Linked DNA regions of Drosophila melanogaster. The protein of the gene in region 1 purifies or fractionates together with the protein of each later gene. This does not show direct contact. Each region holds a gene or a part of one and is shown in the gene's direction. Other genes may lie near its edges.

Evidence for each region.
Region 2: the proteins of psidin (region 1) and Naa20A purify together in Drosophila melanogaster (affinity purification with western blotting; 2 studies listed by BioGRID, with this or other methods). This does not show direct contact.

Annotation. Positions count from the first base shown.
Region 1 is NT_033777.3:20,019,808-20,026,988, forward strand, and holds psidin (phagocyte signaling impaired), read left to right. Parts: upstream 1-1,896; 5' UTR 1,897-2,246; coding exon 2,247-2,307; intron 2,308-2,396; coding exon 2,397-2,621; intron 2,622-3,549; coding exon 3,550-4,042; intron 4,043-4,107; coding exon 4,108-4,507; intron 4,508-4,572; coding exon 4,573-5,856; intron 5,857-5,919; coding exon 5,920-6,118; intron 6,119-6,178; coding exon 6,179-6,363; 3' UTR 6,364-6,675; downstream 6,676-7,181. Other genes in the region: PIG-L (phosphatidylinositol glycan anchor biosynthesis class L), read right to left, coding at 541-1,075; CG4424 (uncharacterized protein), read right to left, coding at 6,820-6,958, 7,024-7,134.
Region 2 is NC_004354.4:19,620,910-19,624,965, reverse strand, and holds Naa20A (N(alpha)-acetyltransferase 20 A), read left to right. Parts: upstream 1-1,891; 5' UTR 1,892-2,000; coding exon 2,001-2,053; intron 2,054-2,121; coding exon 2,122-2,237; intron 2,238-2,299; coding exon 2,300-2,429; intron 2,430-2,494; coding exon 2,495-2,631; intron 2,632-2,701; coding exon 2,702-2,763; coding exon of another isoform or gene 2,764-2,793; exon of another isoform or gene 2,794-3,198; intron 3,199-3,301; exon of another isoform or gene 3,302-3,315; coding exon 3,316-3,360; 3' UTR 3,361-3,515; downstream 3,516-4,056. Other genes in the region: MKP-4 (MAPK phosphatase 4), read right to left, coding at 335-438, 504-1,186, 1,252-1,351, 1,418-1,549, 1,612-1,756; CG14221 (uncharacterized protein), read left to right, coding at 3,848-3,938, 4,009-4,056.

The DNA of each region.
Region 1 (7,181 bases):
GTCATGTGATTGGCATAAAATAATGATGTCATTTTAAAGCACACACTTAAAACAATTTTCAATACATTGAAAGCAGTTATTTAGCGAAACTTAAATAGTAATTGATGATTAAGAAGTCATACAATTATTCCGAATCAGTACGTTATTATATTGAAAGGATTAATAGTTGATTTTTAAATGAATATCTAAATTTTAAAGAAAGAAATATACAAATCGGCCCTACATTACTATCAGCTCGGTATTATTTTTTATTATCTATAAAAAGATAACATCGGTGTAGCCCCTGAATCTTTGCAATAATTAAAATAATAACAGTAGAATGGGCAGGAATATATAACATTTAAAGATTATTAAAAATTCCAATACGGACTACATATATTGCACGAAATCGATTGTTGGCTAACACAAAGAGAATGCTGTGCCCATATGGCAGCAATAAAGCTAAGTCAGATTCGCTACTGATTTCGAAATGTGTACTTTCGTTTAATGCTTCCAGATCTATTGGTGGTTTGGGGATGATGTCACTGCTGGTGGTCTCACCGTTGGACAAGCAGAGTATATACACCTGGCAGCCTTGGCGCTGCGTCAGCGAGTAGATCAGCGGTCCGAAGAACATGCACTCGTCATCCGGATGGGCGGTGATCAGCAGGACGCGCTCCATGCACGCCGTTTTGGGCAGCCGGACGCTACGCAGCCGTATTCCGGACTGAAGGGCCTGCTTCAGGCCGCCAGGACTCCGATTGCCATCCGAACTTGGGTTCAGCTCTGCCCCCTCGCCCGACCCGGCATTGCTGGTGTCGTTGCCGTTGTGGTGGGCGTCCAGTCCCGATCCCGATCCGGCTCCCGAGAGCCAGAAGGTGAGCTTGTAGAGGCCCAGGCATACTAGCAAGTACACCGCACAGGCGATCAGTACGTGCTCCAGTGCTTCGGCGGATGATGACCTGATACGGCAGTAGATGGCCTGAGGATTGGGGACGAGCTGCTGCACCTGCTGCTGCAGTTGGCGCCACGGGGATGTCGATGCAATGCTGCTTGATATGCTGGCCACGTACTCGCTCAGCCAGTTAAATCTCATCGCTCATTGCGTCCGGCCAAGGGCAAGATTTTTGGCGAGAAATTCTTCACCAAAAATGGACATGCAGCGCAATTTGGCAGCGAGGAAAAGCGGAAAAGCGGCGATAACGGTGCTCGGGCGGTTACTTAAACTATTTCACTAAGTGGATGTGTTTCTTAATCGGTAGTTTAATACTTCAAAACGTTTGGTTACGAGCCCGCGCGCCGCCTAATCGGCTAATCTCTGCATTTTATTCGAAAACTTTACGCGTTTTCGACTTTCGGGGGCAGCAGCTAGAGATGGGCAACTGGCGTGGTGCGTGGCAGGTGCGTGACTCACGCTGACTCATTCACGATTTCTAATCAACCTGTCCGGTGCGCCGTGCAACTACAAAGCTTAAATTATCTAATTGGCACTCGAATAAATTGATAAACTCTTTTCTGCCATTCATCGTTCGCTGGCAAGCTACCATTCGTGAGAATATATCAGTCCATCTCTATCGCTCAGCTGTTGGACAAAGTGCCCAGCGGTAGGGGTACTCTTGTCACTGTTTTTATAAAATCTTAAGTTTTTTTTGAAAACTTAATCTGAAATATAAAGAATTACAGTTATGAACATTTCTACTTTTTGAAGAATATCAATACTTTGTTGATCATAGATAATAACAAAATTACTAAAAACTACTATTAGAAATTCACTTTTGTACAAGACATATTCTAACCTTAAAATTCTAAGCAGAATGATTGAATGGAATTTTAAAAGTTTCCCAATAAGAGTATCTTGATGGCTTAAATTTGTGATTTGAGCGAAGACCCCTAATGTCGGCATGCTCTTCTCGAAAAATACCAGAAAATACTGGAGAAAATACAGGGGCCGCTCTCTTCTCACCGAATATGCAGTCTGAGGTTTTTTTTATTTTGAATAAAATTTAAAGTCACTAGTTTCTATGAAAATAAGCACATAATTAGCCTACGACCGTGTGATTCGAGTGCCCGAGAGCCAGCCGCCCGTCCCCGACCGCCCAAACACCGAGGGCAACCCAAGGAGAGCCCCCAAACGATTGCAGGAAATTAATCAACGGCAGACGACAGCGTGCCGCAAAACCCAAAAGAGAGCGAGTCTCAGTTCGAGGTGCATGCAGCACGTTGTAATTAGGTTAGCAGCATACAGCAGCACCACATAACACGATAACATGGCACAGCAGCAGGGCATGGACTCGGCCCTGTTCGAGCGGCGACTGCGGCCGGTATACGGTGAGTGTGTTGTCCGTGTCCACGGCGGAATGAGGCGCTCCATGTGCCGGGTCCACAGTCTCACAGACTAACATCCCAATCCTTTGCAGACAACCTGGAGGTGGGCAACAATCGCAAGGCTCTGCAGGAATCCGAGAAGTTGCTACGCAAACATCCCAACCTGCTCTGCGCGCGGGCATTGAAAGGCCTCTCGCTCCTGCGACTGGGACGCTATGACGAAAGCCACGGATGCCTCCAGACCGTTGCCGAGGAGAAGCCCACGGACGACTCCACGCTGCAGGTGCTGTCCTTCTGCTACCGCGAAATGGAACAACGTACGTATGGGTAAACCACCGGCAGGGCTGATGTACTGAGCCCACGTGGAGCCACCGTTTGCTGGGGATTAGGTTCAGTCAAATGCAAGATTGATAACGTACTAAGCATGGTCTAGGAGGTACATTACCTCAAGTAGAAGTTATTTAGGAGTATGATATAACCAACTAGCCATAAACTCTTAAAGCACGAACCTAGTCTCTCGTTCTAACGCGATGAAGAAGGGCACCAGCCATCAGAAATAACTAATTTGTTCACAAGTAGCTCCTGATAGGCTATAAATTATTAGTTTCATTTATGAATTTGACTTGTGAAGCACACTTTTAAGTTATGAAGAACCTTTTGTAAGTTAATATCCAATTTTAAATCTAAAAACGAAATGCCTGTGTGAGGCAAGGACTCATTGTATGTATAGATAATAATTAAGGATTTAGATTTCTCCTTTCAAATGTGTAAAGGTTACAGGCATTCTAGAATTGAAATTTTATAAAAAGAATAGCTTCCTTATCCATGAGTTAAATGCTTGTATATGTATGTATATGTATATACAAAATATTTTAAAGTATAGATTTAAAGATAATATTAATATTTACTTAAGTTATTTAAATACGAAACCATGGTCGATCAAAGGATACAATTTGTTGAGCTTTTTTAAATTCGATTGACGAATACAAAGCAACATTTTTAAGTAAGAATGTTTCTTAGCCACATCTGTGAATCCCCTAGAGACGCCCCTGCTACGCACACGAAGTGGCCACAATTCATATTTTCGTATTTTCTTGGCACGCGCACCTCGCCCGACTAATTAAAATCGCATTCTCTTAGTCGGACGACGAGTGGCAAGTGCGTGCCAACGATCTGAATATATAGATACCTGTACCTGCGAAAGTTGAAATCGCTAATAATATATAAATATCGGCCTCTTTGCAGTGGACAAAATTGTGGAGCTGTACCAGCACGCTGTGAAGCAGAATCCGGGCAACGAGGAGCTCCTCGCCCACCTCTTCATCTCACATGTGAGGGTGGAGGACTACAAGGCGCAGCAGGCGGTGGCCCTGCAGCTGTACAAGGCGCAGCCGAAAAATGCCTACTACTTTTGGTCGGTGATCAGCGTAGTCTTCCAGGGAATCCGTGGACCGGAATCGGCGCTGCCCGAGAAGCGGAAAATCTACTTGGGACTGGCGCAACGCATGGTCGACAAGCACATCAAGGAGGGCAAAATGGAGACGGAACAGGAGGCCTTCCTCTATCTGCACATACTTAAGCTACAAAACAAGTACCAGGAGGCGTGGGAATTCCTTACTGGTGAGCTGTGCGCGAAGCTGTACCCCGGTGCTCCAGTCAGCATGAAGTTCGAGCTGCTCAAGGAGCTGGGAAACTGGCGGGAATTGAATGAGCTGCTGCAGCAGCTGCTGGACGCAGAGTGAGCTTAAACAATAAGTTCATATGTATAACTACGTTTTCTAAGTTTTATTTTTTATCCCCAAGTCGTGATCGTTGGGACTTCTACAAGGAGTATATCCAAAGCTCGTTCGAGCTGCTAAAACTTACGCCGCAGGGCGTGGAGAACGGGGATAAGGACTCTCTGGCCAGGTGTCAGGAGTTCCTTCAGCGCATCATTGACTCCTCGGAGCGCAAGAAAAGGGGACCCTATCTGGCGCGGTTGGAGCTACACCAACGCATGCGAGCGGAGCAATTGCCGGCGGAAAAACTAATCGGTGACTTTGACGAGATGGTCATTGAGTACTTCCGTCTGTTCGGCGACAAATCGTGCTGCACTCACGATATCGCCTTGTTCTTGCCTTCGATCAGCATGAACCAGAGGCAAGCGCTAGCCAGCAAGTTGTTGTTGGAGAGCGGAGTAACCTCCACGTCGCTTCCAAAAAATGTAAGTACGCAAAAATTATAAATTCAACTTTGAGTCTAACGATTGTTGGTATATGATTATTGTAGAAAGAGCAGTTGCAAAAACATCTTTGCGCTCTGCAAATCTCTCGAATGTGCGGATCCCACATGGATCTGCCTGCGGACCACCTGCTTGCCTTCTATACGGCGCTCAAGCTGCACTACGAGCACGGCAGGACTACTTTCGGTAAGAAGTTGCTGGCTACGGAAATGGGACCATCGGATGCATACGCACTGCTGGCGGCAAATGTAATGTACGATCTGAGTAGGCGGGAAAATAAGTCGGATCACCTGTTCGAGGCGCTGTGCCTGCTGCAGTATGTTCTGCGAAACAGTACGAGTAACTTCCACGTGAAACTGCTAAGTCTAAAGATCTACCATCTGTTTGGCTGCCAAGTGGGCGCACAGGAGATGTATGAGTATCTGGACATTAAGCAGATTCAGCTGGACTCCATGGGCTATGTGCACTGCCAACTGTTGGCTCTTGGAGGTCGCTTCTCGGGCAATCGTAACGTGTACGATGCCACCCTAAAGTTTTTTACGAACAGCTATAAGGAAAGGCTGGAATACATTGCGTTAACATATCGCTTTTGCACGTTTTCAAAAATGGAGGAGTTCATGAACTTCAAGGAGCGGTTAACCAACAGCTTGCAGTACGTGGCCTGCTCGGTGGAGGCGCAGATCTGTGACTTGGTTAGTTGCTATGGCAATATCACGCAGAATCTATCCGCATATGTGGCGATGAGTATTGAGCCGGCGGAGGACCGGATCGCTTGGCATGAGTTGAGCGACAATCGCGACTTAGGGGCCATTATCCGATGGGATCCGCTACATGAGGTAGACGCTGCGGAGGAGCGCAGGGAGTCGTTCGACCAGGAAGTTGAGGTGCTTCAAGTACGTTCGCTGATGCTTCGACTCTTTGCCTCTTTCATCGACTTGTACCACGGCGCGGGCTTAAAGGATTCGCCAGCGGGAGCAGAGACGGCCACCTTGGAGCTCCTGCGGGAGTCCTGGACGGGATTATTCCAGAGATTGCGCGTGATGAACTACAAGCCGTTGGCGCAAAAATTTCTAGTCAATCTGCTGCCCACACGTCTTCACCTGCTGCTCGACATGCCATACGAACGTTTCTTTGACGACCTTGCCCAGTTGGTCCTTGACTTGCAGAGCGGGTCGGCAAAGCTGGCCGAGCAGTGCAAGCGGGTGGGTGACAATGTTATTGCGACTATGGAGCTGTGCGTGCAGACCATCAACGAGAGCAACGAAAGCAACGGCATTGACGGTCTGTGGAAGCGGCGAGGTCAGCAGCAGAAAGTGGCAGCCAGTTTAGAGGTAAAATGTTGGTAGTAAAAGCAGGTAATCTTAAATTCACCAATGTTCTTATAACTTTTCCAGATGCTATCGCTGTACGCCTTCCTTCTGTCCGTGTTGAACGACAAGCTGCAGGTAAGCTCAAAGACCAAGACCAAGAAGAAGCCGGTGGAAAACAAGGTGGATGGACCGCAGCCGATCAGCGAGAAGGAGCGCAGCCAGATGTTGCAGGAGCTGATGCGACAGCTGAAGCACAAGTTTGAGGCCTGCGACACGGCCATACGTAAGTGGCTCTAGACAAATCGCCCAAAGATAAACTAAGGTATGATTCTGCAATCCTTAGGCTCCTGGAAGGCGCCCGTTTTGCCACGCGACCTCAGCTCCTTTATGTCTGACATGTCGCTGAAGCCGGAGGTGGAAGCCACGCTCATCGGCGACGTTTCGGCCACCTTTAAGGACTCGCACGAGCTGATGGTCACCGAGCTGCGCAATCTGCTGAAGGACAAGATACGCATGGTGGCCAAGTAGATGCTTCTTTGCTGTGCAAAGGCCATCAGCCAGCCAGTCCGGTCATCGTTGCCCCCACACAATCCAAGTTCATAGTTTGTTATTTAATTTTGTTAACGGATACAACCGACCTCATAATCCTCCTACACTACAATTATCTCGAACACCAGCGCCAAGTCAGCACTTATCAATCACTTTTCGGCATTTCCCTCGTACAACACATAAAAGTTGTAAAATTTTGTAAAACAAAAATTAGAAAAGAACAAAACAAAGAAAAAAGATTGCGTACCGCTTTGCAAGTAAGTCAAGTAAAAGAATAAATTGTAAAAATGTAAACAGTTTGTTTTTTTTTTTAGAATGCTTTTTAGTTAGTTTCATGAAATCTTTCTAGCAAACTTTATATAACAAAGGTCGTATATACAAAGTTTTAGGCTTTAAGCAAAGGTAAAATGTCGCGATCTTATAAATATTATATTATTAAGCATTAGCTACAGTAATCCCCACTTTAAAGGTACTTAGATAGGCAGTCAGTCGTGGATCATTTATATGCTGTTGCGTTTGCAGATGCGCCACGAGATTGTGAATGCGAGCGAAGCTTTTGTTGCAGAGTTGGCATCTGAAGTAATAATAGCAACGTGATAAGTTTTAGGTTTGATTTAGTTTAAAACCGAAACCACTTACATGTGGGGTTTTTCGCCCGTGTGCGTCTTGTAGTGCATTTTAAGGACACTGGCATATGTGAACTTCTTTCCGCAGGTCTTGCAGGCATAAGGACGCTCATTTCGATGGGTTCTGTGGAGGAAATACAATTAATTAGCTAGTCTCTACTTGTAGTTAAT
Region 2 (4,056 bases), on another chromosome or scaffold:
TCCCAAGAGGGAACTAACTAAGCTAACTGCTTGCGTTTCAAAAATCTCAGCTTGGTGGAGGAGCTATTCAGCAATGGGACCAATTAACTTATGTTTCAACAGCGTAACCGAAGCCCAACTTCTCCAATGACCCATAGAAACATAACTTAATGCCCATATATGTATATATGTAGGACATCAATGTTGGCCAGCACTGATAAGCACTGATCAATCAATCCAAGCCTCCATTGCTTTTTGTTTAGGTGGGCGATTGCCGTTCTTTGCCAGCCGACAAGGGAGTCCAATTGTCCCGTCTCTGATGATGCCATCTCGCTCTATTTCCAGCACGCTGCACCTAAACCGTGGTCTGCACGTTCTGCACGGCCTTCGAGAGCTCCACCTTGGAAGGTATCAGATAAAATGCAGGCGTCATCGTCTCCCCGCACGGACACTTGCAGGCTGCAATAAATTAGGAGGAATGAGTGGGGGGCGGGATTATCGGCTGGTGGAGCAGCATAGCCAACCGTTGATCCAGCTAAAGTTTCCCAATTTCTGCTCGCACTTGGGACAGTACAGGCGGCCCTGGGTGTTCAGCATGATGCGGTGCATCCAGGCGATGGGCTCCACAAACAGTATGCTGCGGCAATAGTTTGGCGTGCTTTCGTGGCCGGGTGAACCGAGTGATGACTGGCGGATGCGCTCGGACAGCTGCTCCAGCATGCGAGCACCATGATGATTTTCGGCCTGATCATGTGACTGAGCCGGCAGCTTAGCTGCAGCGACTTCTTCTTTCTCCTTGGGTACCACCTCCTGCGGCGGCCTGTCACGCGGCTTGTGCTCCAGTACATGCGACTTGGAGGCGAGGACGCGGCGGCAACGACGACAGCGGAACACTATGGGCTCCGGGTTCTCGCGCGTTATATCTGGATCCGGACGGACCACGCTGTGGAAGCTTTGCGGCAGGATCTTGGCCTTGCGCATCTGCTCGCCAGCCAGGCGCAGGCGATGGATCTTGTAGCGCTGGCAGTTGGGGTCAATCTTGCAGCCCATGCGCCGGAAGAGCTTTAGTTGGCTGACAAAGCCAGCGTTTGGCTGGACGAAGCGCCGTTTGGCCTTGACCAGCTCGTAGGCGGGCAGGAAGTCCAGATTGTGTCGCTTCATCATGTAAGCGATCACAGTGGATGAGCTGCGACTGACGCCGAAGTAGCTGTTGGAAGGCACAAAGAGTCAGTGGCCAAATCGTGGGCCGGTCAGCCTAGGTAAGATGCTCACCAGTGCACAAGGACATTGCCCTGCTGGGCCAGGGCCGAGCTGATAAAGTCAACGCAGCCCTCCAGATGCTGCAGAATATCTTCGCGCGGCATGTCGGCAACTGAAACAGGGATTAACGCCAGTGAAGTTGTTGCACATTCACGAAGCTACCGATCTGTGTGCTTACTCTGTATATATTTGGTGGTCAGAAAGCTGGCCTCCAGAATGTGCTGCGGCAGCGGGACCGAATCCAGCGTGAGGATGTGGGTGATCTTGAAGGAGCGCAGCGTCTCCATGTGCGTCGCCGCGGTCAGGTTGCCTGGTGGTGTAAGGAAGGGTTGAGAAATGCATCGATCACAAGGATTAGAGCTATATGCTTACCTAGAAACAGGCCTGTGTCCACCTCGTCGATGCTGACCGGTCCGCCGTCGAAGTCCTCGCGCGTCAGCACCCCGGAGTCCTGGGCCTTGCCACCCCCCGCGGAGGACGAAGGCCACGCCTGCCGTTGAGACTGAGACTGTTCCATGGCCAGGCAACAGATACCAGCTGGAGGCAGAGGAAGAAGAAGAGCGAGGACAGGACCTAGCGTGGAAATGGAAGTGCTAGTAGTGTGACCGCGGCTGCATTGCGCGGTAACCGATTTGTGGGAAAGCTCGCTTCCAGGCTATCGATAACTTGCCATCGACCGCGGCGCATCTCTATTGCCGGCGAGTATAGCAATTTTATAGGAGCAATAAAAAGGATCGGATTAGCCGAGATTAAGTGATAAGATGACCACGTTGCGACCCTTCACCTGCGACGACCTCTTTAAGTTCAACAATGTGTGAGTACAGTGGATATCCACATGCGCATATCCGAGGCTAATACCAATACCGCCGTGTGCTCCGCCAGAAACTTTGACCCACTTACGGAGACCTACGGGCTGTCCTTCTACACCCAGTACCTGGCCAAGTGGCCGGAGTACTTTCAGCTTGCGGAGTCGCCCAGCGGACAAATAATGGGCTACAGTAAGTACTGCATTTCACTGTGTGCACGAGTTCCCCTATCAAGTGTGCTCTACATTCTCTAGTCATGGGCAAGGTGGAGGGACACCTGGACAACTGGCACGGACACGTGACTGCGCTGACCGTCTCGCCCGACTACCGGCGCCTTGGTCTGGCTGCGCTGCTCATGAGTTTCCTGGAGGACATTTCGGAGAAGTAATTCCAGCCCCAATTCGTTGGATATCAATACAGACTAAACGACTACTTTTTCTCGCCCCCAGAAAGCGAGCATACTTTGTGGATCTTTTTGTGAGGAAGAGCAACCAGGTGGCAATAAACATGTACACGAACCTTGGCTACATCATATACCGCACCATACTTGAGTACTACTCCGGCGACCAGGACGAGGATGCGTACGGTGAGAGCGCACAGAATTTGCATTGACTTCTAAGAGGCGCCTAACAATCGATGCTTTACCCACTTTGCAGACATGAGAAAGGCCTTATCCAGGGACGTCAACAAAAAGTCGGTCATACCGTACACGCAGCCTGTACGACTGGAACATATAGATATGAATTGATACGATATCAACCCAGTAGCGCCCGAAAACGCATTTATGTCTAACTAATCCCGATCCACCATTTGAAATGGGCGCGAGCGCATCACTTCGCAGCCCATTGAATTCTAGTTAATTTAGCAATGTAAATAACCCATAATCCCGTGATCTGCCCGGTGATAACATGCGATTCGATTATGACCGGATTCCCATCCCGCTTGCGAACCAATCCCCCGGCGCCAGTATTTGCGTGCATTATTTCCCAACCGAAACTAAGCCTGTAATTAAGTTACATGACCGCTCCGTTACCAAATTCAGCACAAATTCTCGATAATTCTATTGACTTTGAAATTATTTAAAGATTTCGTAAGCCGATGCGTAAATAACCACAAACACAAAGATTGTTCCACAGTTCTGAAGGTAAATAACGTAAGCAACTTGATTACTTCATCATCGTAAATGACAACCAGTATCTAACGCCAACGCTATGACCACCCATCTAGCCCGCACACGATCCTCTGACCATATCCAGTTTTTTTTTTGCAGATCACAATGCGCGAGCTGCGCAGACAAATGCGACACGATCACTAAGTGGAACGATTCGCGGCGGATGTGGGCATAGCCACAGCCATCGCCATCGCCATCGCCATGTGCTTTATCGACCGATTCCCATTTACTAATGTGCTGCTGCATAGAAAACCATTTTGAGAATAAAAAGAAAATAAACCCCCTGGCATATAAAGTTCAATCTGTATTTGATTGATTGATTGGAGGAAAGCTGACTTTCAACACACCTTATAATAATGTCCTTGTGGTGATGTCCTTTTTTTTAGTGCTAGCAGAAGGATAGAAAAGTTTTCGGGTTTATAATAAATACCCTGTATTATATGGGTAGCTTCCTAGCTCGACTCAGCAGCTCCTGCGCATTTGTTACCCCATTTGGGAACTGGGATTGTTGATTGATTGATTGTGCCAAAATACTGAGTGACCTTTTAAGTCCTGGCAACCACTGTTTGATCAATAGCTGGTTGGGTGTTTAGTTCGGTATCTGATTGATGGCCCATTCAGTGCGCAAAAAATGGCGAAGAAGGGAGGAGTCCAGCAGCTTCAGGCCGACCTCGCCTCGGATGAGGAGTTCGAGAAGTTCCTGCAGCGATCCGGATTGCTGGGTACGTTCTCGATGCGATGGTTAGCCATTAGTCCACCCAGTAATCTCGCTCTAATCCCTGAGTGCTTCAGTGCTCGATATATACTCCGAATGGTGCGGTCCCTGCCTCGGCATGGTGG